2 linked regions of the Xenopus tropicalis genome follow. The protein of the gene in region 1 interacts with the protein of each later gene in a pairwise test. Links are inferred from orthologs where the notes say so. Each region holds a gene or a part of one and is shown on either strand. Other genes may lie near its edges. The genes, in order: fam114a1 and rab2a.

Region 1 (3,829 bases):
GTTTCAACTTTTGATATAAATTTAATTTACTGCCTAGTATCCGCTCTGTTCAGCTCCTGTTTCAGCTATGTTCTTTTTCCTATTGTACAAAATAATAACCATAATCTGAGCCTCTTAGTTACATGTTTTTCTCAATGATGCATTGATGATTTTATTTTACCGCCATTAACTGCCAACAAAACATAACTACTGTAAATAAAGCAACATTGCTGTAACTATGTAGTTTCACTGTAATGCTAATATATTTGGATCAATTCAGGTCTAATTTTGGTAAGACTGCAAGTATTTACTGAAAAGAACATACTTAGTGGCCTTTTATGTATTTTTTTTTCTTTACAGAAGAAGAGACAGGAGAATTTGCCACCATGCTTACTGAGCTGCTTTTTGAATTACATGTTGCAGCTACCCCTGATAAGCTCAATAAGGTATGAGTTCCACCTTAGTACCACCCCCTTCAACCCCATTTCAATAATAACCTTTTATTTATAGCACCATCTCCCGGTTACCTTTGAATAATTGCTAAAACCAATGCACTTAACTATAGACAAACAACATAAGGAGTTTATGTGTCACAGTTCTGACATAATAGCTCTTGTTTTTTTCCAGAAGTTCAGTGTGCCTAACTCGAGCCAACTCATAATTGTGCCCTTGATGCAAAATGTTGCAATGTTTTGTAAATAATGTGCATTTTCTTCTGCGATGAAGATCATATATATTTACATGCCCCTCAGTTGAGCATAATTTTTGGAGTGTTAATATTTAGGGGATTTAAGGGAGCCCTTTATTTTATGATGCTTGATGGCAGGTGTAATGTATAGGTGTGCTGTACCTACATTTAGCAGAACAGGACATTGGAGCTAGGTTCTAAACTTCATTGTATTGGTATATTAATGTGTGCAAGCTTACTTTGGTCTGAGTGTTAGTTTCTGTAATAATAAATGATGACCAATAAATAATAGTAAAGTTTTGAAAGCCAGAAACATGTTCCACAATTTTCTACTAATCTTCCACAAACTCCTCATAAGGTTAATCTAATTTCTATAACAAGATAAAGCCAAATGTAATGTAACAGTACACGCCAGTTTCCTTACCTAAATATACTGTACAAGCATGCATTCCTTTACCTGCATTTGTCTGTTACTTAGGCTATGAAAAAAGCTCATGACTGGTTGTCCTCACAAAGCTTTCATTCAGAAGAGGAGCCACCACATCCTAAATCAGAGCGGGAGGAAGAAAAAGAGTCAAGTGAGGAGGCCAAAGAAGAAACAACAGTAGAAAACCAGAACATTGAGGTGAATTCCAGTGGTTCATTCAATATCAGTACACTTTCTCTTCACCTTTTAATCTTAAACACTACAGTATGAGCTGCTATATTGTAAATTCATGGTTGAATTGTACTCAGTGCTTCTCTGTGCAGTCTTTTAACAAGCTTAGAAGGTTGTTCCAACTACAACTATGCCTGGATTTTATCCAACAGGGAAGCAGCAGTCAGATCAGCTAAGAAACTGGAAAATATTGAGGGGCAGCTTTTCCCCTCTAATGTGGTCCCTGAACCGACAGAAAAATCAAACCTGCACGATTGAGATCTGGCCAATTTCAGGCCAGATGTAGGTCGGGTAGGCCTGTTGGGGGTGCCCATACACAAGCAAATAAGCTGCCACATTGGTCTAAAGGACCAATAGCGGCAGCTGAAATCAGCCCGTGTATGGCCACCTTAAGTGTACTAGCGGGAGCTGTTTTAGTGCTTTCTTAGAAAAAGAGGCAACATGTTCCTGGCAAACAGGATATCACATATTTTAACATATAGAACAGAGTGATGCAAACATGCAATGAGAGCCCTTATTACCCCTTGATCCCTGACTTACTAGCTCCTGTTAAACAAAACATTGATCTAACCCAGTACTTCGCACTTCTTTGCATATCCATTCAGTTATTCCTGTCCATTTCCAATGTGCATGTTATAGAAAATACAATAATGTAATACATAGTGAAGAAGTTTTAAAATTGAAAACAGGCTAACAATGTGGGTTAAATAAAAAACTCAGAAAGTCCCTCACCAACATAGGTAAGTTATAACTATATTACTCTGATTCCTTTTGTACAGGAATTCTACATGCGTTCTATTGAAAGCCTTGCAGAAATCACTGCCCGCTGCATTGAGCAGCTCCATAAAGTAGCAGAGTTAATTCTACATGGACAAGAAGTGGAAAAGCCAGAGAAAGATCAAGCAGTTGTCTTAACTAAGTAAGCATTCAGTGGATCCTAATTTCCATTCGCCTTCCCCCTCTGCGCTGATATATGCTTTATGTCCACTTATGTGTCTCACCCAGGCAGCCAAGTCAGGATTGGAAACGTTCATATGGTTACATTTCTTATAGACAGTACAATAGTTCTGGCATGGAAAAACCAGGGTGCATATTAACTTTTGGATTGCCTAGGGATTTATATTGTGAATTAGAAGTGTAAAATATAGTGCCAGGAGGCTGTCTAACTATATTTTTTTATAAATCACAAATTAAACTATTTTAAAATTGTTTTTGGAAGGTAGATTTAGATTACCAGCGCAATGGTAATCCCCCTGCATAATAATGACCTCCTGTTAACTAAGCAGTCACAACAAAAGGTGAAGGGAGAGAATTGTATAATGGGAATCTAATTATCTACCTCACAAGGACATGGAGAGTTTCAGTCTCTCTGTCCTTGTTTTCCCTTGAGAAATAACAGAAACCACAGATTTTTCTAGGCAAATTATGTATATTTCAAGCCTATGTATTGATTTATTCTGAAGAACAAGTGTGTATACTGCCACTTTAAGAACTTGTTACCACTAAGATGTTACGTTATGCCTATTTTAGTCATAAAAAAAAAGTTCATCTCAAGAGTATAAGACCCCAAGTAAGTTTTACCCTAAGTCACAATATTGCACTCCTGTTATAACAACACACTGCAGTGACTGCATTTTGACATCTTATTATTTGGGTTTTTAAGGCTTACCATTGCTATGTGTAAAGAAGTGTCCTCTTTATCAAGGAAGTTTTCTGATTCTCTGACTTCAGCTGCGGTAAGTATCAACTGGAAGGCAAAGGTTTGCACTCATTTATACTAGTTCCATATGGCAGTTTTCTGGCTGTACTTAGTCTGGTGCATTAGACAGACATGCTCCATTGCGGTGGAACCCTGTAAATAACATCTTGACAAGTAGGTAAATAAAGGGATCCCTTTTAATGTTTTACCTGAAATAGCACTGAATAGCACAGATATTTTGCACTCATTTAGTAAATGAGTAAATAAGCATTAAAGACCTCAATAATTTTTCTTATTTTACAGAGCAAGACTAAGGCAGAAGTCCTGAATCCACTGGTAAACAGTATACAGCTTGAGGTAATAGTACCACTGTATGTCTGTTCTTTCTCCTTACAGCTGTGGGGGTATGTAATGTGCAACCGGGGATAAAACAGAAGAGGTGGGAGCATAAGTGCTGAAATATGCAACCTCATGCACAACTATGTGCCTTCTATTCATGCCCCTAATGAATACAGTGCTGGCGAATGCAAGTAGTTGTGTATTTATAACTTATATTTTTTAGGTTAGGTTATTGCTGTACTAGGAATGAAAGTGTCTTTTCTTTATCTTTATAACTGATATATTTATGATATATATTTATAATTAATCACTTATATTATTTAGGTTAGGTTATTGCTGTACTAGGCATCAAAGTATATTTTCTTTATCTTTATGATTCATATATTTATTATATATATTTATAATTGATCACTTATATTATTTAGGTTAGGTTATTACTGTACTAGGCATGAAAGTCTTTTCTGTC
Region 2 (3,829 bases), on another chromosome or scaffold:
TTTAAAAAAATTAGCATATTGTGATAAAGTTCATTATTTTCTGTAATGTACTGATAAACATTAGACTTTCATATATTTTAGATTCATTACACACAACTGAAGTAGTTCAAGCCTTTTCTTGTTTTAATATTGATGATTGTGGAATACAGCTCATGAAAACCCAAAATTCCTATCTCAAAAAATTAGCATATCATGAAAAGGTTCTCTAAATGAGCTATTAACCTAATCATCTGAATCAACAAATTAACTCTAAAAACCTGCAAAAGATTCCTGAGGCTTTTAAAAACTCCCAGCCTGGTTCATTACTCAAAACCGCAATCATGGGTAAGACTGCCGACCTGACTGCTGTCCAGAAGGCCATCATTGACACCCTCAAGCAAGAGGGTAAGACACAGAAAGAAATTTCTGAACGAATAGGCTGTTCCCAGAGTGCTGTATCAAGGCACCTCAGTGGGAAGTCTGTGGGAAGGAAAAAGTGTGGCAGAAAATGCTGCACAACGAGAAGAGGTGACTGGGCCCTGAGGAAGATTGTGGAGAAGGACCGATTCCTGACCTTGGGGGACCTGCGGAAGCAGTGGACTGAGTCTGGAGTAGAAACATCCAGAGCCACCGTGTACAGGCGTGTGCAGGAAATGGGCTACAGGTGCTGCATTCCCCAGGTCAAGCCACTTTTGAACCAGAAACAGCGGCAGAAGCGCCTGACCTGGGCTACAGAGAAGCAGCACTGGACTGTTGCTCAGTGGTCCAAAGTATGTCATTCGGAAATCAAGGTGCCAGAGTCTGGAGGAAGACTGGGGAGAGGGAAATGCCAAAATGCCTGAAGTCCAGTGTCAAGTACCCACAGTCAGTGATGGTCTGGGGTGCCATGTCAGCTGCTGGTGTTGGTCCACTGTGTTTTATCAAGGGCAGGGTCAATGCAGCTAGCTATCAGGAGATTTTGGAGCACTTCATGCTTCCATCTGCTGAAAAGCTTTATGGAGATGAAGATTTCATTTTTCAGCACGACCTGGCACCTGCTCACAGTGCCAAAACCACTGGTAAATGGTTTACTGACCATGGTATTACTGTGCTCAATTGGCCTGCCAACTCTCCTGACCTGAACCCCATAGAGAATCTGTGGGATATTGTGAAGAGAAAGTTGAGAGACACAAGACCCAACAGTCTGTATGAGCTTAAGGCCGCTATTGAAGCATCCTGGGCCTCCATAACACCTGAGCAGTGCCACAGGCTGATTGCCTCCATGCCACGCCACATTGAAGCAGTCATTTCTGCAAAAGGATTCCCGACCAAGTATTGAGTGCATAACTGAACATAATTATTTGAAGGTTGACTTTTTTTGTATTAAAAACACTTTTTTTTTATTGGGCGGATGAAATATGCTAATTTTTTGAGATAGGAATTTTGGGTTTTCATGAGCTGTATTCCACAATCATCAATATTAAAACAAGAAAAGGCTTGAACTACTTCAGTTGTGTGTAATGAATCTAAAATATATGAAAGTCTAATGTTTATCAGTACATTACAGAAAATAATGAACTTTATCACAATATGCTAATTTTTTGAAAAGGACCTGTACATAATGGTCATTTGGAATGTAACAAAAAAAAAGAAACAATTTCATCGAGTTTAACCTGTTTGTCTTAAAGGGGTGGTTCCCCTTTAAGTTAACTTTTAGTATGTTATAGAATGGCCAATTCTAAGCAACTTTTCAATTGGCCTTCATTTTTTTTTTTTTTTAATTGAGTTTAATTATTTGCCTTCTTCTTTCAATTCTTTGCAGCTTTCAAATGGGGGTCACTGACCCTGGAAGCCAAAACCTAATGCTCTGAGGCTCCAGTTTTATTGTTATTGTTACTTTTTATTACTGATTTTTTATGCAGGTCCCTCCCCTATTCATTTACCAGTCTCTCATTTAAACCACCCCTGGACCCTAGCAACCAGATAGCTGCTGAAACGCCAAATTGGAGAGCTGCTGAATGACTTCAGCAGTATATAGGGTAACAAATGGTCATTCTTCACAAATCTCGCCTCTGCTTGCCTTTAGACTGGACCACCTAAACCACTGTTTAATGTATTCTCATTTTATAATTTTTAGGCACTTTACTTTTTTTCTCCTCTTGTTTTGCAGGTGTTGGAAAATCATGTCTCTTATTGCAGTTTACAGATAAAAGGTTTCAACCTGTGCATGACCTTACAATTGGTAAGTTTACGCTGAAAAGTGTCAACTTTTGATTAACAGCTCTTTTGTTAGACACCCTTCAGTAATTCTTATTGCTTACCTGGTACTTTGAGCTGATACTCCTCTTCTTAAAAAAATACAATAGCATAAGGGCCTGATTGCTGAGCTATGTGCCACCATTTTTTTCCATACTTAAAAGCTTTTGCACTGCACATGCACCCTCTTAAAATTGGTGCAGGGGACACCTGTAAAAATGAAGACAGTACCACGGACTGGTGCATATATTAGAGGAAAGTAGTGCAATGCTAGGGTATCAAGTAATTGGCTAGAATTACAGGGGGTTCTTAACAACTCAGCCCCCCCCCCCCCCCCCAATGACTTTACTGTTCTTTCAAGCATTCGGATAGTAGTGGTTAAACTTGAACACAATGAATTTTTATTTGCACTTTATATAATTAATAAACATTTCACTAGCTACAACTTAAATTTGATTAGGCAATTTTCACTTCTGTATATATTGTAGAGATGCACCTAATCCAGGTTTTGGTTCGTGATTCGGCCTTTTTCATCAAGATTCGGATTCTGACAAATCCACGCTCCGGCAGATCCAAATCCTAAATATCATGTGACTTTTTGTCATGTAAACACAGAAGTTGAAAATTTTTCACCACACGTGGCATTTAACCCTTTCAAAGCCTAATTAGCATGCTAATTCGGATTTGGTTCGGTATTTGGCCAAATCCTTTACGGTGGATTTGGGGGTTCGGCCGAACCCAAAAAAGTGGATTCTGTGCATCCCTAATATAATGTAGAAAGCAGTAATATTATGAGAGCTTACTATTGTGAATTAATGCTTCTATTTTGTTTTTAAAATGTAACACACTGTATGAACTTTACAATCAGGATCTCTTAATTTTGCATATCATAATTATTTTGTAGGTGTAGAATTTGGTGCAAGAATGATTACAATCGATGGCAAGCAGATAAAGCTTCAAATATGGGACACTGTAAGTAATAAAGACAAAACAATATATTGTCTGTTTCCTCTGCCTCTTTTGTTGTACCACATATTCTGTCAACGATCTTGTAAGTTGATATAGGGCTGATTCTCGGGTAAGAATAAGCCATTCTACTGTCCTTCGATCATTTGTGTGTTTGTGCATTGGCCTGGGTGCAGACAAACCTGCTCTCTATGTCTGGTCCCAGGATGACACAGTACTTGTGACTGCAGAGACACAAATGAGCAGAGGCCAGCGGAGTGAAATTACCCTTAAAAGGGAATGCAACCCCTGCTTATCTCTATTGACTTAAATTGGAAATGTCTGGCTGCCCCAGTATTGACACTTTTCAGTCCTAAAACACCCTCTAGAACAGTGATCCTCTACCAGTGGCTCGTGAGCAACTCCTTCAATGTTGCCCCAGTGGCCTCAAAGCAGGTGCTTAGTTTTGTCTTGGAGGCAAGTTTTGGTTGCATTACTGCCTGTGTACTGCCAAACAGAGCTTTCTGTAGACTACCAGTCCACATAGGAGCTACCAAACAGCCAAACATAGCTCTTATTTGACATTCATAGAATATTGTTTCATACTTGTGTTGCTCCCCAACACTTTTTCTATTTGGTTGTGGCTCACTCTTATAAAAGTTTGGGGACC

What was found.
Region 2: the proteins of fam114a1 (region 1) and rab2a interact in binary tests that used the Homo sapiens proteins (3 or more experiments, as listed by UniProt). The two-hybrid records come from large-scale screens. The link is inferred for Xenopus tropicalis from reciprocal best matches to the Homo sapiens genes FAM114A1 and RAB2A.

Annotation. Positions count from the first base shown.
Region 1 is NC_030677.2:35,822,495-35,826,323, forward strand, and holds part of fam114a1 (protein NOXP20), read left to right. Parts: intron 1-339; coding exon 340-425; intron 426-1,145; coding exon 1,146-1,292; intron 1,293-2,104; coding exon 2,105-2,244; intron 2,245-2,988; coding exon 2,989-3,061; intron 3,062-3,327; coding exon 3,328-3,381; intron 3,382-3,829. UniProt on the Homo sapiens protein: May play a role in neuronal cell development.
Region 2 is NC_030682.2:116,956,052-116,959,880, forward strand, and holds part of rab2a (ras-related protein Rab-2A), read left to right. Parts: intron 1-2,128; coding exon 2,129-2,200; intron 2,201-3,118; coding exon 3,119-3,186; intron 3,187-3,829.